Saccharomyces cerevisiae S288C: one gene and its partners. The main gene of each other region encodes a partner of the protein of the gene in region 3 in a complex. Each region holds a gene or a part of one and is shown on either strand. Other genes may lie near its edges. The genes, in order: YPT31, SEC4 and GDI1. A codon is read from its position in the direction of its gene.

Region 1 (5,879 bases), 220 kb from region 3:
AAGAGGAGACTAAGGCTAAAAATGGTTTGACGAAGAGCGAAAATAATGGTACTGTTGAAGATTCTGAATCTGATATGGACGATGCCAAGTTAGACGCATTGATGGGAAATGAGGGAGAAGAAGAAGAGGACGATTTGGCAGAAATTGATACCTCTAATATCATCACATCCGGAAGAAGAACACGCGGCAAAGTAATTGACTATAAAAAGACTGCAGAAGAATTAGACAAGAAGGAACCTAGCACAGGCTCTAAAGATGATGTAGGATATGGTGAAAAAGAAGAAGACGATGAAGACGAAGAAGACGATGATTTTAAAGAGTAGTAAGCAAAATGTCGTACATACCGGCCTCTACTTGTGTATTCTGTTTACTTCAATTTCCTATATGCGTTCTATATGTATATAAACTATATGTCAGCAGAAAATTGTAAAAATATAGCACAGAATTAAAGGGGAGAAGAGTCATTCACATGCAAGTGCGCAACTGCTGCAAAATATCTCTTAACAACAGTTATTTCCATTTGCCTTTTTGTTTTCGTTTGGTGTTGGTGTCAGACTAATCGTTGGTCCATTAGGAGCGGACGCACCATTGGCATTCCCGTTGGCACTGGAGTCACCAAGGTCCATTTGATGCTTGCTGACCTTTTGATAGATGGTATTGATTAACTCTTCAAAAGCCTTATCCACGTTTTCACTGTTCAAAGCACTTGTTTCTGTGAATAATAACTGATTTTCCTGTGCAAAAGTCTTGGACTCCTCCGTAGGTACAGCACGTAAATGGGCCAAATCAGACTTGTTACCGATAAGCCCCACTGCGACGTTGTCATCTGCATTTTCTCTTAATTCTGATAACCAATGATTACAATTTTCATATGAGCTTGATTTACTGATATCGTAAACGATCAAGGCACCTACAGCTCCTCTATAATAAGCAGAAGTAATGGCTCTGTAACGTTCCTGGCCCGCAGTATCCCAAATCTGCGCCTTGATCCTCTTGCCATCAATTTCCAAAGTTCTGGTGGCAAACTCAACCCCAATTGTAGACTTTGAATCCATATTGAATTCGTTCTTCGTAAATCTTGACAATAGATTGGATTTCCCTACCCCGGAATCACCGATCAGTACAATTTTAAATAGTAGGTCGTAATCATACCCGTAGTCCTCGCTGCTCATTGTTGAAATCCCCAGACGCCGTCAGAATCCCTTTGCTGGCCTAAACAAAGTGCCTTGTAATAAAGGTCAAATTGTTATTCGTTTCTTTCTTGAAAAGTTTTGAGTTTCCCTCTTTCTCTAATTTAGCACCCGCACACCGCAGCGGCCTGTGATATTCCGCATTGGAAAATGGTAAACAAACAACAAACGAGCCCAAACATAACAACAGTAGAATTGACGCCTAGGAACAACAATACAACATACTTACAGCAAGACTACTACCTAATTAGTGCAATTAGATTGCGCTGGGATAGATCTGAAGCTTTTTTTCCGATTATGAGCCTCCCTGTTACACCTGTCAAGAGCAAAGTGTGCAGTACATTATCGATACAACATGAGATGGACCATGATCAATGCCGTGATGTGTTGTGCCCACGCGAAAACTTACTAGCCATTAATAGAACTAATAATATAGAGAGTGTTGCTATACCGCGACAGAGATCGAGCAAGAACAAGAAACCCCATGAGCATACACAATCGCAGGTTCGATTTTCCATTCCAGATCCAAATGAAATATCACAGGACTCCCCACTGAAAATTGTATTCCCCAAGAGTGGAAATGAAACCGAAAGAAGAATGTCTACTTCATCATTACTTATGAATAGCCATGGTCATTTAGTCGACATGCACTCTAAAATACTGGTCGATGTCCCTAAAGAAGTTTGGAAGTTTCATCATAACAGGAGAAAAAAATGTGAAAGCAGGCACCGTAAAACTCGTTCTGATGTTAGGTCCAACACAAGTAGTAGTGGAAAAGAACCAAACCATTCTAGATCAAAATCATTACAGTCGATCATTGTGGATACAATGAACACATATCGTGCAACCGAGGTTGAGACCAGTATTAATGAGAATACTAGTAATATTAGCCAAGTATCTCCGCTGAATTTATCATTTGACAGGCCTCCTCCCTTAACTCCCGAAAAGAATTTATATCTCACTCCTGAATCGCCATTGAACAGATATCATTTACCAGTTCCATTAGAAATATCTCTGCCGCCCTACTTATCTCCGCAAAACAAGGATAAAAAGAGGAGTAGCTTGGTTTACGATGGGGATGGCTATAGCCAGTTTCAAGAAGGTAACACCTCATCGTCAACTGAATCTTCTCTAGAACAGCCCTCATCGTCGTATTCAGATGAAGATGATTCTATTCCATATGCCCACCATGATGTGTCTTTCGAGTTAAATAATGCAGATGCTGATAAGCTTCTTGGAATTGATGAGAACGCCAACGTCAATCTGAAGATACAAAGGAGAAATCTCAAAAACCCACAACATATTAAGAGTAAAACAGATAGGGAATGTGAGGAAAAAAACACTGAAAAAAATGTTTCGTTAAAAATTCTGTCAACACCAAATAAACTGATAGACATCCCCGACTTAGAGCACATGAAATCCCCACCAAGCACAGGTTTAAATGGGACATTAAAATTTTTCCAGCAGTTTGAACCTAGCGAGGAGCCAACTTCTCCAACTCGCCAAGTTAACCCTGAATCACTGGACAAACTCGATATGTCATTCAAATTTCCCTCCAGTACTACTAACAATAATGTGGATAAGGTACATGAAAATAGAAACTCTGGAGACACGAACAATGAAGATTTCCTGAAAGTTGATACTTCGCCTGTGAATCAATCATTTGAATCCAGAAGACAGATGTTAATAGACTTGCAAAAATCTCCGACGAATAATAATCCGAGGATACATAAACATAGGAGAAGCAGGAGCGTTCATAATATTGATGACATTTCCTTAAATTTCGAGGCAACCTCCACACCACCAGCTCCGACCTCTGCTCCCTCAATTCCTGTTGAACATTCTAACCCATGTACTTCCATTGAAATACCTAAGAGATCACCCTTACGGTTCACGTCATCTCCAAAAACATCTGATATTCCTCCTGAAGCTCAATCACCTAAAAATGGGTCCTTCCTCCAAGAAATCTCGGTACCTTCGATTCAAATTATACCAGATGAAAGTATCTCTCATACAAGAGAACCATCACCATCACTTATTGAATGCCCAGAGGATGAAAACGAAGCTTTTTCTACTGAAGTTGCTGACCATTCTATTGCAATAATTAGTGAAACAAAAAGTGTTCCATCGATAGAGCCATTCAAACCGCTATCTTCATTCAATTCATTTGGTCAAGAAATTCAAAACAAGGAACCAACTCCTTTGAACCAAACTCCTACAGACTTAATTGGTAAACAAAGAAACTGTGTGAATCCGCATTCAATTCCATTTAGTGTTTTATCTTCCAATAGCCAATCGTCACAATCGGGTAGTAGTAAATCTTCCTACAATTCTGAGTTTTCTTCCAATACTGCCATTACGGATACAACATCTCAACCTTCTGTGACCATTAACAGGTCAACTTTAGAACATAACTTTATAGAAGAAAAACGATCAATTAAAAATTTAGGTCATGGTCCTCCATCCCAGAAGAACAACTATTCGTTCCCCAGGAATAAGAATACTCCTTCAAATAGACACGATTTGGATTTTAATACCATTTACGAAAAAAGAGATGGTAAAATGGTTGAGGTTATTCTTTTAGATGAGGATGAAGATGTAGGCCTCAAAAATAACGATATATCACGAACAAGAGTCTGCCATGCTCAAAAAGCTAAAAATGAGCAACAGAAGAAACGTCTAAGCCATTGCAACGAAATTTTGGGCATGTGTGATAAAACTGCAGATGATGCAAAAAGAATTATTTATCAACTGGTAAATGAGAAGCATAAATTCTCAGAAAAAGGACAACAAACAAAGCCAAAAAAATCAAGAGTACTTCCGCCGTTGCCTTTTCCACTGTATGATGAAAAAGGGAATTCTTTGATCCCGAACAAGTATCAGTCCAGTATTCATAACGACATTCCATCTCATCGCAAACTAAAATAAAAAAAAAAAAAACAACCCTACAAATTGTTCTGGTAAACAGATTTGACCAGCTCATCGCATGAAGATTTATCGGAATGGCAATTTGCTTATTGCCTATTTTATTTTTTCATCGGACATTACAAAATTTCATATCTCTTACATGTAAGAAAAACTTCTAGTTTTTGTACTTTCTTAAAAAAACTATATTCAGACATGCCAATTCTGTAAAACAAATTAATAATATGTACTTTTATATCTACCAAAGATCATCCTTGGCACATGCAATTGATTACAAATACGAACATTACGCAAAGGTTTTAAAGCTAGTCACCTACTAGGGAAGAAATGTGGAGGCTACGGGCATAAAAAACATGCAGTATTTTCTCACGCTCTCTTTGGCGAGCTTTGAACAGAAGATGGTGTCTCCTGAATAGGGCTTAATGAGTAGTCATTTGAGAACTCCGGTGTGGGTTTAGTAAATGAATTAGTTGGTGTGATAGTTGTCGGTAAATTTGGTGAGATTACGTAGTTATCATTGCATTTTCCATCTAAACCATTCGATATTTGATGTTGTGGCGAAAGAACACTTGAAGGTTCTACGTTTTGACCAACATTATGATTTTGATATTTACTATCTCTCATTTGGGATGAAGTTTTTCGGGAGAGTGAATTGCAGTCATAAGTATTCCAATTATTACTGTTAAAGAAGGTGACAGTCTTGTTTGTAAGTTCAATCTTATTTTTCATCGGAGCTAATTCTTTAGCCCCTTGGTTGATCGTTAATTTCCCATTAAAACTATGCGTACTTCTGAAAGACGATGACACAGATGAAAAAGGAGAGACTTCTCTATTCTTGGAGCCGCCCCGTAAAGGAGATTTCAGTGTACGACGATTAAGATCATCTCTTTCAGAATCAGAGAAGTTAAAATCCTCTGGAATGCCATTAATTTCATCGATGTCGTAGTGGTCGAAATCAAAAAACTTACTTTTCTGATTGTATTCGTCTTCCTCAGCTTCATCAATGAAAAAGAGATTACTCATTGGTCTGGGGACTTCTGAATCTAAATCGCAATTTAAGTCATGATATTTTAGTGATTGAGACCTAGCTGGCGGCGGAAGAGGGGGGCTATTGAGTACAGCCGTATACTGTGGGCTCGCATAGTGCGGCTGCTGTGAATGAGAGGAATCAATAAGTTGAAACGGAGTTCTTAGTATGCTACTAGTGTCATCATCATCATCTTCACCATCATCATCGGTGATTGCAAGGGCTTGTGATTGCGCATCAGAAACGCTTGGAGTTATTACAATCTTAGCCGGTGTTTGAAGAATCTGCGAATGAGGATGATTGGGAGGATGGGATTCTGATTTGGTTTCATACAAAGAACTTTGCAGGGAGACCTGCCTTTCTGAATCATTGGATACTAAGCCGTTAGAATTGTTCCCTCCTGTCCCAGAATCACTTTCAGCGTCACTTGCACTATCATCAACATTAAATATATCTGAAAACGACTTTACTGTAGGCTTGGTAGAGCCAGTAGTACCTGTAAGGGAAGCCTTTATTGCAGAAGTGTGCTCCGTTTCATCATCCGAATTATTCCTTTTGAGAGAGAAACTATAGTTCGGCTTTCCATCACGTATGATATTTTTGTTAGATTGACTATAGATCCCCCGTGTTGATTTTGCATTTGCTGGTCCACTTTCTATACTAGGAGCTTCATCGGAAAACATATAAGACTCAGCTTCTGACATCTCTTTGTCGTCGTTATCGTCCTCATCAGACAA
Region 2 (5,869 bases), on a different chromosome or scaffold from region 3:
CTGTTTCCAAATCTGGTAACCAAAATGGTAAGATATCTAATTTTTCATCATCTCCATACAATGATGCCACACCTTGCACAAAGATAGAAAACTTTGGAATTTCTTTGACCAAATGAGAATTTGTCAAATCGTTCAGCCATTGACCATGCTTTTTAGGCAGTTTTACATTAGAAATCATAGAACTGGCAGACATCGAAGAATCTAATGAACTTTTCACTTTAATTTCCATTACTGAATAAGGAAACTTAGCATACTCGCCTCCTCTCAGGAATTTCAAGGGATTTGCAACATTGGCATCAATATCAGTTCTATGCCAGGTATTAGGGTCTCTAATTGGACGCTCTCTGTCGAATGAATCCTCCTTGATGAATACAATATTAGAGTCAATGGTTACTCTTATCTTGTCATCGCCGGGAATCTGGAAAGCAGTTCTGGTGTAAACAGTTCTAAAAACTGGTTGCAATTCATTCTTGATAATAAAGTTTTGAATCTCAGAGAAATCTTCTTCTAACCTTTCCAGGTCTCTCCCTGCCGTACCACTTTCTTTTAACTTTTTCAAAGTTTGTTCTTTAAATTTCTTATCACCTTCGAAAATAAACCCGTTAATGAATTTTTGTTTCAATTGCAATTTAGTTAGATCAAATTCAGACTTCCCAGTGGCTTCGTCTTCAATAAGAGTTTTCTTTTCCAAGAAAATATCCGGCTTATCAGATAACTGGCCAGTCCACCTTAATCTTAAAGTAGGTGCTGAATTTAACTTTAATAACTTGTCGTTATATAATTCAAAATGCTCATTGTCAAAATATAGCGTGTTGATTAATGGATCGAAGGAGCGCGCTCCCAAGCCATGTTCTACGCTACTAGTGGAGCTCGAACTACCCACAATTTCATCATTATTTGATATATCTGATTCGAATCTATTGACCAGGTCATCGTTTTCGGAGGGAACATTGGCGTAGACCAACACGGGAAGATGTCTCAAGATTCTTGTTTTGACCTCCATTAAGTTGTCATTATGAACCCAAAATTTAAAGCTTCTGAAATTCATGTCTATGTCATTGCTGACAATGCTAGAAAACTTAGAAGCGCTGGCTAAGGGTTCAGATGCAGTGTTAAAATTACTTCTCAAAATGTTGTACAAAAATGAAATACGATACAACAATGGGGAATATTCTTCCGAATGGGAAGGCAATTCCTTTAATCTAACTTCCAACAAAGATTTAACAGATGGATACTTTGGATATAGCTTGTCATGTTTCTTAACAATCTTAGCAAACCCAGTAAAGTTCAATCTCTTAAAATTGTCTAATTCGGTAGACTCGCTTAACAGTTCCTCCAATACACGTTGGAATGCATCAGCGTCCAAGGCCTTTATGGCTGCTTCCGTATCTGTTTGTTTCTCCAGATGGGACAATCTCTCCATCAAGTTATTGTACTTTTTTAGTTGAAAACCATAGACTTTTTCAAGTTCCTTATCCAACTCTTCCACAAACTTGGATTCATCTGAATCGTCCCAGCGTGCTTTCTTATCGTTACTTCCATCCTTCACGCTATCTTCCTTCAGGAATTTTTTCAAGCCCTCATAATTAATATAAGAACCCTTCCAAGGAGGATAAACCTCATTAGCCAACTTCACTCCAAACAGCATGTCAAAAAAGTGTCGTTATGTTGAGGTGTAGTCGTTCTTTCTACTTTTTTTTCTAAACTCTTTTCGTCTATTTTATCTGTTTATACCTATGCCTCTTTCCCAGTAATTCGCTTCCGATAGAAAAGATAAGACGAAGAGAGCCTGCCTTTTTTGAGGTCATAATAGGATGGAAAAAAGTTGGCAAGAAGAAAGAAATGACTCTTAATGGGTAAGATACCAATTGCTTAAACACTCCATAAAGCGAATTTCGCAGTCAGTATCTTTCTGGAAGTGCTATACCGCAGTGCGGATTCATTTCCAAGCAGCACGTGGGTTTTTTTTTCGAATTGAGTGATTATGCAACCATACAGGAACCTTACATAAGCGCAAGTAGTTGAATAGTGGATTCAAGAAGCAAAACTTTACTACCGGTAAAAACATTAGAACGAAATAAAAGTGCTGAATCTTAAAAGTAAAATATATACTTGGATAAGAATTCCCAGGGAAACTGGGAACCTCGTTTTCCTGTTGCACTATTTTTTAGATTCTTTCTTGATTTTTTACCAATCGCCTGATGAAAATACCTTCCAGAGCAGAGAACAACAGTAGAAGTATGCTGAAAAAGTTAGTGTGAGAAGTTTGAATTGTTTAGATAATATAAAAGTGACATCTAATATGACTAATATAAAAATAGTAAGTATGGTAATCAAAAAAAGATACAAACAATGTATATATATAAAGGAAAAATAACCTGCGAATATTGAGAAAAAGGGAAAAAAGAATCAAGCGATTTATAGCTCTAATTCCAGTTCACGATTAATTCTCAAAGAAGCAAAAATCTTCTTTTCTTCAACAGCAATTTGATTTAGAACTGTTTCCGCTCCCACTATTGATGCTAATATTGCCCTCTTTACCGTTACCGACGCCAACAAGCTTGTTACTGTCGATTTTTTCTTGGATTAACTTCGCCAAGGTGAAAAAAATCTCGTTGACATTGTCATCGTTCTTAGCACTGGACTCGATGAATGGTATACCCAGCTCCTTAGCCAAGGCTTCACCTTGATCAGCTGTTACCACTCTCGTCTCCATATCGCTCTTGTTACCAACCAACAGTAGCTGTGCTTCATCGTTCGCATGCTCATTAACGGTTTTAAACCATTGCTTGATATTAGTAAATGTTCTCTCGTCTGTCACATCATATACAAGAATGATACCCATAGCACCACGATAATACGCTGTGGTGATTGTCCGGAAACGTTCTTGACCAGCGGTATCCCAAAGTTGCAGCTTTACCTTCTTACCGTTGATATCGACAGTCTTTATTTTGAAATCAATACCAATGGTGGTGATAAATGACGGGTTAAATTTGTCTTCAACAAAACGAACCAATAAACATGATTTCCCAACACCAGAATCACCAATCAATAAAATTTTCATAATAGAGTCATAGCTCTTTCCATTACCGGATGAAGCAGAAACAGTTCTCAAGCCTGACATGTTTATCTTGTTATGTTTATATTCTTTCTGGTGAACGATACGCCCTCGTGTATATACAGTATGTCTACTTTTTCTCCTTTTCTTATTCTTCCAAAAAAAAAAGTTCCTAGTTTATTTTCTTGGAATTGCAATAGGTTGGAATAATGGATCACTAAAAGACAAGCTATAGTGGGTAATTCAAGTTTCCAGCTTCCCTAGAGGTAGAATGCTTTGTTTGGTATAACGTTTCCCTGCCGTTGATCATTCTCAGTGGTGAACTTCCAGTTTTCCTCAAAATTGATTTATTACCCGGCACGCAGCCGTGATCATAGTTACACTAACAACTTACTTTTAGAGTAAAACTAATCAGCAGATAGCTCCAGCTATTTGTTTAGATGTACATATATGTCTAGATATGTGCTTAATATCCTATACTAATATGAATCAGGCATAGTAACTTCTCCATAGGACACCCTCCAGGTCTTCCAGTTCCTCCGTATTGAAAGATGCTCTATCGAACTTCCAAGTGTCGGCCCTCACCTTCTTGAACTCACTAATAGTATTTTTGGCAGCTTGTCCAGTCATACCACTAGTCCTGGCCCACGAGGATAAGTTGCTTAGTTGCTTGGGTATCCATGGCGGTAGGGGAAAAACATAGGGGAACGCTGATATAATAGCTCCCAAACCCAAAACGTTACCATGAATCTTGATATCCGTTTTGGATAACTTTTGTCTTTCTTTCGACGTGTATTTGTTGACGTCGAGACCCTTTGCAAATCTCTCGATTAAACTCAACAACGGCTGTTCCTCTTTCCAGTTATGGACGATATCAGACAAAATGGATGCCGCACGAACTCTCACCTCTACAAACTGTTCGTTATACAAATTGCTGACAACAAATTCCAAAATTTTGTTCTTTTCTTCCTCAGTAAGTTGAAGCAGTTCCGCTGATAAAAAGTGTTGGATGAAAGCTAGCTGTAGTTTCGTTTGGTTTGAAGATAGTGCTACATTTGACGAACAAACATAGTCAACAATGGCGGCAACATGGTTCTTTCTGATCGGCATATAGCCCAAGCCGGCATACAATCGAACAGGATCTAAACTGGCAAGAGCACAAACATCTTTATGTTTCACTAATCCGATCAGAAATGGTAAAACATAATCGACTAAATATGGAACTAACAAAACTTTATTAGGCCCTCTCGCCATTTCTTTGATCCAATAAAATATTGTGGATGTCCTGTAAAAATAGTCTGTCTTAATAAATTGTTGAGGATTCAGGCCGACAACGGAATCTTCCAGATTTTTAATGATCTCAAACTGCTTCTTAATATAGGCATCCACCTTTTCTGGGACGCTTTTTAATGGTAACCCTAATCCATCTGGATCATTCCGTTCTGCTTCTAATAATGTGGTTGGATCTGAAATTGACGGATTACTTTGATTTTGAACTAAGGTCGTCAATAGTTTAGCGACAGCCTGGCGAACCTGATCGTATGGGTGATCAAATACCAACTCATCAAATAGCTTACCAACATCTGGGGCTCTAAATTCCATGCTCATCAAGATACTTCTTAGCATGTAAATTTTGGAGGTTTGATGTGTGGCTGCATCAGATTCACGGTCAAACATGCCATCGGCGTTGATAAAATGGCAAAAAAAAGTTTTAGACCTTCTTAAATCAACGACTGCAGGCAACCACCATGCCAAGGTGCTCCAAATTTCAAATGCGTCATGGTTCAACTCATAATCTAAACATTTGGCTAGGAAGTTTTCGATAAAAGTGTCACGTTTGTCCAAGTCAGAGACTGACATAAACTTACTCCCGCAAACTAAGCCAGCCACTATCTCGACAGACATGATCATCGAAGCCTTATCGTCTTTGTTATAGTAGGATTCACATAGCTCAAAGAGATCCGACATATTCAGTTCGCAGAAACCAGATGATATCAAAAGGATTACTAAAGAGAAAAATGACACGTTACCACTACTAAAAACACCCCTAGTTTCATTATCTTGGACTAAATTCATTGTAACATCTCTCAGGAATTCTCTTGTCAATAGATGACCAGCTGTCTTGAGGACTTCCAGTTCATTCTCACGTAAATTGAGCTTTAAAGCTTTCGGCGACATGACGTACATAAGCCTTCCCCAACATAGCCACCCTACATACGCCCTCAAATCGATAAAATACTTGGGGTTATCAAAGTTATTCATTTCTTCAGTAAACGTTTTAGGGAAGCTTGTGGTCGAAGTGTCCAGTATTTCCACAAATGATGGATTGAATTCATTCTTATAGGCCCTGGTGATGTCATATTCATAGTCAGAGAGAGATATTATCTTGTTGCACGTCGACAACAATGACTTTACAACCAAATGTATGATTTCGGGATGTTTTGTGGAGATTTGGGAGATTATTGAAAATACTGCTCTTTTATCGGGTTTGCTTTCGAGGTTCGATTGGATTTGTGTAACAAAACGTAAAATGAACATTCTTATCTTCCACCCCATATCTTTTTCATTATCTAATTTGTCTAAAAGTTTGTCCTGCAAATCCACTAACAGAGAGAGGTAGTACTCACGCTTTTTCTTTTTGGCAAGCTTTACCGCTTCAACTTGCAAATTAATAGTACCATCAGGAGGTGCTAAAGGTAAGAAAGCTTGATCGGAAATGACACATACACTAGAAGGAATCTTGATCCCAATCACTATGTCAGTTAAGATTTTATCTGCATACATACCAATCTCTAATTCATTCACACGACA
Region 3 (6,716 bases):
AAGGACTACCTACAACAAGAACATGATGATAAACATTGACATGCACCTTCCAATCGTCATTTATATTCGAAAAGAACAAGAATAGGACATTAAATCAACTTACTCTTCCAACATCCCTCATTGGGACGGTTAATTAGTTCAAAAAAATGTTAAAAAATATGGTTCAGGACACACTCCATCCCCGAGGGAACGGCCACAATGTGCGAGTAAATCCTGATGGCACCGCCAAATTAAACCGCCGAAGCGATCAACTTGCACAATTATCCGACTGATATGTGCTATCCCGGCCGCCTCCATCACGGGTCACCTTTGCTGACGCTGGATAAAACTCCCCTAACAGCGGTGAAGGTGGAGCCCCTAAGGACCCAGAACTACCTTGCCGCACCAGACAGAGAGACGGATTCCTCACGCCTCCTGCCAACGGGCTGCCCGCAAAGATCGATTTATTATAGCCGGGACACTTCAGAACGGACTCTCCCGCCTCCGGGCAGACAGCTCTGCCCAGGACAAATTTACGACGGAGGAAAGACGGTTGCCACAACAGGGCACGGTGCGGAATAGAGAACTATCCCTTGCCCAAAGGGCGTGCAATCCGTGTCTAGCCGCGAGGAAGGATTTGTTCCTCGGCCAGAATTCTCAACGTATCCCATCCCACCAGAAAGCCATTACAGCCTAGCACAATTGGAATAAACTTTCGATTTTATACTCCATTTTCTTTCCTTTACACAGAAAATTTGTCAGAAGATTTTCAATGAAAAGTTCCTGGCGATGAGGTTGACACTAATACAATATAGTCATCGTAAGTTTGTTAAAAGAATACCGAGGGTTGTTATAACAAGGAATGTGTGAATCATCAAATAAGACTGAAAATGATATAGTCAGATTGTCACAAGCTATGGATGTCCTGGCTAAGTTGATCATTTCAAAGCAAAAAGATGGATCACAATTACAAGTTGAGTACGAGCATAAGTTGAAAGAATTAGAGAAATTCATTAACCTACTACTGGGATTGCATGAAAGCACTGTGGGAAGTATGATGAATACTAGTGTTCTTGACATGGTACTGCGGAATGGAATAGAGATCATGGAAAAAGACGATCAAAAATATGCCCTGATACCGATTAAAGCCAAGGAAGAGGCAGATAAAACTACGAGCACTATTCAGGGAGTAACCAGCAAAAAGAGTAGTAAAAAGAAAAAAAATAAGATAAAATGTTCATTTTGTCACGAGGCTGGCCACACAAGGGCACACTGCGGTGCGAGACTGACAGTTATACCCAAGAAATAATGAAGGGATCATCGAAGCATTAGACCTACATCTACCTTACTAAGATTGTAAGTACATAGCATGTGTACTGATGTGTTCAGTAGCATTCTTCCATATATTATACTACATAAGGTATGTAAATTTATGTATTTATATATGGAAAAAAGAAATTGAAAGAAAAGAAAAGGAAAGATACTTAGTTATGAATCAATCAGAATACGCATATAACAAAAAAAAAAAGTGGAATGAGAAAGGAATAAAGGATAATCTTTTCCCCTATATTTTTGTATTGGTTTTTTTTTGGCAAATATTTTCTTGTTTTCTGTAATTCATGTCATTTATTGGTAACTCATTTGCCAAGAACATTATCGGAAAAAATAAGTTTACCCTCCAATTGCTGCTTTAGTCGTAAAGGTATGAATTTACTGCTTTTCTTGTTCTTGTCTTTGTTTTAGAACTAATGGGTGGCCTGTTACTCTGAAGTAAATATCTTTAACATCGTCAGTCATGGATTCGAAATGAGAGGATGCGTCGTATGATCTGGATAAGTAAATGTTATCCTTAGAGCCGTCTTCTCTTGGTTCAAATAATTCGGCAATTCCCATGAATTTTTCTTCGATTGGTCCCAGAAGTTTGAAAGCAGGCTCTAATTCTATATGTGGTTTATCAGTTTCAATGATTGTAGAAATAATTGCTAAATAGTGACCCTTGGAGCAAACGTTATGCGCATCTGAAACAATCGCAACGTATATATCGCTTTTCCTTCCCAGTTGGCTTTGTGGGATAATAATTTGTAAAGAATCCGCGTTACTGGTGTTCGGAACTGGATGGTTAAGAATACAGATGGCTCTAATAACTCTTTGACCAGTAGATTTACATTTTTCGGGAAAATAAGTTGGATCAGCAATAACCAATGGGGCCTTGAAAGTTCCCAGCTTAGTCTTGACCCCTTCAAATTTTCCTGTGTCTTTTTTATACAATACTTCATCAATTGGAGTGTCTAGCATGTAAGTACCACCGTAAATAGCCGACAAACGAGCAAATCCTTGTGGAAGTTCGCCTAACCCATACATAGGATACAAATAAGGTGATTTACCGTAACGGGCAACACTTTGGCAATATAACAAAATCCTCTCAAACGATGGCCTAGCAGGTTGTTGTAAGTAGTCATCATTGGTCCATAAAGCCATTGCATGACCGATGAATTCTTTGGTAGAATTGCCTAACCCAAATTTATAATACACTTCATCCATGGTATTCTTGTCTAAGTCTAATCCTTGATGAGTGGACAAGTCATCTTCTTTGTAAGAGCTAATCCATTCTAAAAATTTCTTCATTCTACGTTTTTCAAAAATACCCATCAATGGCGATGAAATGGCTTCTATTTCATTAGCTGGCACTTTGTAAATTTTGCCTTGCTTAAAAACGTAGGAGCCAGAAACTTGCTTGAAATCGACATATCTGGTCACATCGGTATGTATTAAAATATTTGTCAGCTCACCATTGGCCATCAGGAATTTAGGAATTAAGTCGACATTCCAATCTCTATCTTTACCAAACTTGGACTCCCGTTCCTCTTTACTGATCGGATTTTGTTTAAATTTTTCATACAATTGAGATAAGGTCACAGAAGCAGCTTCGCCACCATAATGGTCTTGCTTGTCAATATGTAATACCTTTTTTCCATCTACAGAGAGTAAACCAGATAAGATACATTCGGTAATACCGGTACCTAAGACAATCACGTCGTAGTCAGTGTCTATTGTTTCTTGATCCATTGTGTTATGCTATATAAGTGGTTATTCACTAACAGTTATGATGGAAGGGGAGTAAAGAAAAGGAAAAGACTAATTGCAGTCCTGCTTTGAAAAATATCCTTCCTTGAAAAAAGACTATGTTAGAAATTTGATGGGACGACGTCTCAAGCAAGAATGAAGTAGAACCTTTTCTACTAACAAAATCGGGATAAATCAGCCGACGTGTTGAAACTACATCTACAATCCCTCGCTGAAGCTTCCCACGGCCAAGATTTTGGAGCCCACAGGAGAGGGGAAAACACCGCCAATGTGAGATAAACGATTCAAACATAAGGGTAACCTAAAGATAACGGTTTTGAGCGTTTACGGCCTACTTTACTATGCAACAGCAGATGTTGGATAATAGAGAAGTTTGAGTGATAGATTGTAGAAAGTACAAGAATATGGGTGTATTACGGGAGTTAACAGAGGTATGTACTTTATCAAATGTGGTCTGATATTTTTTTCTTGAAAACAGTCTTGGCTATGTAATTTTTTAAGTTTTGCGCCTTTAGCTCATGTTTAGTTTCTGGTGGGGGAAGCGGTAATTATTTTAAAGTAGCCAACATAAGCAAAATATATGGAGAAAAAGAAGAATACCGTCGGAACCGCTAAAAGTATGTTTTTGTTACAGGATTGTAAAGCTTGTATCGCTTGGCAAGAGTTTGATTGGCCATTCTTGTAACTATTAGTTATTAAGCGGATTTGTCTCTTTTCAACTAGTTTCGAAGATGTCTCAAGAGATTGGAAGTAAACATTGCTTAGTATGAAAGGAATGCCCTTTGTAAATTAACGTAAATTATAACGTTTTCGAAAAAAAAAATTGATTTCGCCCAGGATCGAACTGGGGACGTTCTGCGTGTTAAGCAGATGCCATAACCGACTAGACCACGAAACCTAATTTGTTGAAAAAGTTTCATTAAAAAATAGAATATATCTACAATTCTTAAGATTTACACATGAAATTGTGGAGATGAAGCTCTAAAATATCATTGCTCAGTTATATCGTGTAATTAGTGTATTATCACGTACGGTGTAAAGAGGATGACATGAAAATCGAGAAATAGTCATCAAACCTCTTATCCCGAAAATGACAATACGTCAGGAACATATACACCACTTAATGAAGGGTAATTGATTATATCCCAATAAAGTGAATCTTAGTTTATTCGAAGTTAGTTGTCGATTGTCGTTTGAATATCCCCTTTGAGTTTAACGACCACAAATGCAAGGTTGATTAAAATCTTTCAAGCATGACATGGACTTTAAGAAACTTACATAATTCACAGAAAAAGGTCTTGGTCGATATTACAATTTGGTTAGCACTTTCTCCATACGGTGACATGGCGTTATTTACAAGTTTTGAGAATATAATCGGCGAATATTATAGGTACTCTATACTACCGTTACATCAAAACTTACACAAGTTACTATTCACTCTTTTTCTAATATGCCTCGCTAGTTGGAAAGAGGGAAACAGATCTTGCAGATATAAATGGCAGAAATTTGTGTGCAACAAGCTAAATTCTCCTGAAACAAATTTCGTACCCATTCGCACCTCAGTGAATAAGAACTCTAAAATGATTGTTGAAAAGCAGATAAGCATTCATATTTCTTTAAAGTGTATTGTTTACAAAGAATACTAAGGGATTGAGTAGAATATTTTTCACGCACTAGAAGAAGGACCTGCCGAAAAGGAGACCTTCTCGAGAAACAAGCATTTTTGTCCTTAAACTTACAAAGAGAACAATTTTGTTACAAATCCTGCTCCAAAATAGTCTCAACGCGTTTATTATGACTGGATACCCTGACGTGGCCGCCTTCGATTTGGACTACACCATTTGGCCCTGCTATTGTGATACCCATTTGCACGGTCCCTTTAAGCCAGTTAAAAGTAGTAATGGCGAAGTTCTCACAATTATATGTAGAGATGGTTACGAGCTCACAATCTACAAAGATATCCCACGTATACTAGGTGATCTTAAAGATAATGGAGTTAAGTTAATGACCGCGTCACGAACGTGGGCACCTGAGATTGCCCAGGAAATACTGAAAATATTCAAGGTCAAGTATGCTGGTGTCGTAACCCCGTTGGCCAACCTGTTCGATGAATTTCAGTGGGGAGAAAGAAGTAAAATTGGCCATTTAAGGGACGGTTTGAAAGATCTTTATAATACCAGCGATTTAAAATCGAAAAAGATTTGTTTATTTGATGATGAAAGTAGAAACAAAGAAGTGGAGAAATACGGAGTGAAGTTTGTTTATGTAAGAGACCCAGAGAATGGACCATCTTGGAAACTTTATCAAGATTACCTGAGTGGAAAGGTTTGAAGGACTGCGCACTTAGTTCACAGAGCATCATCTGAGCATAAGAAGAAGTCATTACATTTATGGGAAGATGATACATCACTGTTAAAAATTATATATTTGTGATTTATCAAAATAGAAGCTCACTTTTAATTTAAAAACTTTAACCAATCCGCCTCAGCCTTTGTACTAATTTGTTCTTCCAAAAAGAGTTTTCATAACTTAACCATATATCTATGTATAAAAACCTGGTTCATTCACCACTTTTCACTACTAAGTTCAGACAAATATTTTCAAATTTCAGTGCAAGAAGCTCTTAACCATCTGCTTTTCTCCAATGATCTTCATACACGTTGTAATGCTACTGATAGCGTTTGAATTTTAAGTGTACGAAACATTATGTGACGAACATGAACCTTAACCCATTATTTTTAACAGAGTAGTTTAACTACGTTAACCAAAAAAAAAGAATAACTTTTTTTCGCAGGCAAATATGCATTTCTTATTCCAACACTATTGATTCCTGCCATAGATTGATGATTTTCCTAAAACTAGAATGTAGAACAAAAATACTCAAATGATATTCAAGATCAAAAAAGAATCTCCTGCGTTCAGCGGTCTTTCGAGCGAATAGTAGGATTTCAGCGCCTCGCTTGATAGACGATAGTTGGTTTTTATTCCAACAGTATACCAATTTACACCTCGTATACGTTCCAGTGTGAATGTACTCTTGCAGAAGGAAATGTTAAACGACAAATTCAGAATGTTCTGAATTTGAACTAAAGATCTATTAATTGAACTTGATGAGGAAGTTATATATATGAGGAAGTTATATATATGAGCAAATAATATGAGTCGTGACGACATCAAATGTATGAAATTACCAGAGCCATGATAATACTAGCCATAACTATATAATGATCCTATATGCGTGTGTTCATACCTCTATTATATAAGCATAAGAAAATTAATGTTCAATCTTCACCAATACTGCCTTTTAAATTCTAATTATGTGTTGGAATAAAAATCAACTATCATCTACTAACTAGTATTTACGTTACTAGTATATTATCATATACGGTGTTAGAAGATGACGCAAATGATGAGAAATAGTCATCGTTTTCAATGGAAGCTGAAACGCAAGGATTGATAATGTAATAGGATCAATGAATATTAACATATAAAACGATGATAATAATATTTATAGAATTGTGTAGAATTGCAGATTCCCTTTTATGGATTCCTAAATCCTGGAGGAGAACTTCTAGTATATCTACATACCTAATATTATAGCCTTAATCACAATGGAATCCCAACAATTACATCAAAATCCACATTCTCTACAT

What was found.
Region 1: the proteins of GDI1 (region 3) and YPT31 are in contact, whole or in part, in a crystal structure (PDB 3CPJ), measured with the Saccharomyces cerevisiae proteins. Residues at the interface, in NP_011062.1 of Saccharomyces cerevisiae: Ile6 (codon at 3,030), Tyr44 (codon at 2,916), Arg78 (codon at 2,814), Asn81 (codon at 2,805), Thr96 (codon at 2,760), Leu99 (codon at 2,751), Ile100 (codon at 2,748), Thr105 (codon at 2,733), Arg106 (codon at 2,730), Tyr107 (codon at 2,727), Asp109 (codon at 2,721), Phe110 (codon at 2,718), Lys111 (codon at 2,715), Gln112 (codon at 2,712), Arg226 (codon at 2,370), Tyr227 (codon at 2,367), Leu233 (codon at 2,349), Met236 (codon at 2,340), Tyr237 (codon at 2,337), Glu241 (codon at 2,325), Gln244 (codon at 2,316), Ala247 (codon at 2,307), Arg248 (codon at 2,304), Ala251 (codon at 2,295), Ile252 (codon at 2,292), Gly255 (codon at 2,283), Thr256 (codon at 2,280), Tyr257 (codon at 2,277), Met258 (codon at 2,274), Leu259 (codon at 2,271); in NP_010948.1 of Saccharomyces cerevisiae: Glu49 (codon at 1,028), Trp67 (codon at 974), Asp68 (codon at 971), Thr69 (codon at 968), Ala70 (codon at 965), Gln72 (codon at 959), Arg74 (codon at 953), Tyr75 (codon at 950), Arg76 (codon at 947), Ala77 (codon at 944), Ile78 (codon at 941), Thr79 (codon at 938), Ser80 (codon at 935), Ala81 (codon at 932), Tyr82 (codon at 929), Arg84 (codon at 923), Glu113 (codon at 836), Pro203 (codon at 566), Thr204 (codon at 563), Ile205 (codon at 560), Ser206 (codon at 557), Leu207 (codon at 554).
Region 2: the proteins of GDI1 (region 3) and SEC4 are in contact, whole or in part, in a crystal structure (PDB 3CPH), measured with the Saccharomyces cerevisiae proteins. Residues at the interface, in NP_011062.1 of Saccharomyces cerevisiae: Thr5 (codon at 3,033), Ile6 (codon at 3,030), Tyr44 (codon at 2,916), Arg78 (codon at 2,814), Arg106 (codon at 2,730), Tyr107 (codon at 2,727), Tyr237 (codon at 2,337), Glu241 (codon at 2,325), Gln244 (codon at 2,316), Ala247 (codon at 2,307), Arg248 (codon at 2,304), Ala251 (codon at 2,295), Ile252 (codon at 2,292), Tyr253 (codon at 2,289), Gly254 (codon at 2,286), Thr256 (codon at 2,280), Tyr257 (codon at 2,277), Met258 (codon at 2,274), Leu259 (codon at 2,271), Leu282 (codon at 2,202), Arg445 (codon at 1,713); in NP_116650.1 of Saccharomyces cerevisiae: Ile53 (codon at 2,968), Gly54 (codon at 2,965), Ile55 (codon at 2,962), Asp56 (codon at 2,959), Phe57 (codon at 2,956), Trp74 (codon at 2,905), Asp75 (codon at 2,902), Thr76 (codon at 2,899), Ala77 (codon at 2,896), Gln79 (codon at 2,890), Arg81 (codon at 2,884), Phe82 (codon at 2,881), Thr84 (codon at 2,875), Thr86 (codon at 2,869), Thr87 (codon at 2,866), Ala88 (codon at 2,863), Tyr89 (codon at 2,860), Arg91 (codon at 2,854), Asn123 (codon at 2,758).

What each region holds. Positions count from the first base shown.
Region 1 is NC_001137.3:213,576-219,454, forward strand, and holds YPT31 (Rab family GTPase YPT31), read right to left. Parts: upstream 1,173-5,879; coding exon 501-1,172; downstream 1-500. Other genes in the region: CHZ1 (Chz1p), read left to right, coding at 1-323; FIR1 (Fir1p), read left to right, coding at 1,488-4,118; ZRG8 (Zrg8p), read right to left, coding at 4,482-5,879.
Region 2 is NC_001138.5:127,589-133,457, reverse strand, and holds SEC4 (Rab family GTPase SEC4), read right to left. Parts: upstream 3,125-5,869; coding exon 2,477-3,124; downstream 1-2,476. Other genes in the region: VTC2 (vacuolar transporter chaperone), read right to left, coding at 1-1,648; proteasome activator BLM10, read right to left, coding at 3,548-5,869. UniProt on the Saccharomyces cerevisiae protein: Involved in exocytosis. Maybe by regulating the binding and fusion of secretory vesicles with the cell surface. The GTP-bound form of SEC4 may interact with an effector, thereby stimulating its activity and leading to exocytotic fusion.
Region 3 is NC_001137.3:435,945-442,660, reverse strand, and holds GDI1 (Gdi1p), read right to left. Parts: upstream 3,046-6,716; coding exon 1,690-3,045; downstream 1-1,689. Other genes in the region: YER137C (uncharacterized protein), read left to right, coding at 842-1,288; YER135C (uncharacterized protein), read left to right, coding at 4,317-4,709; YER134C (Mg-dependent acid phosphatase), read left to right, coding at 4,858-5,394. UniProt on the Saccharomyces cerevisiae protein: Regulates the GDP/GTP exchange reaction of SEC4 by inhibiting the dissociation of GDP from it, and the subsequent binding of GTP to SEC4. Plays an essential role in the yeast secretory pathway.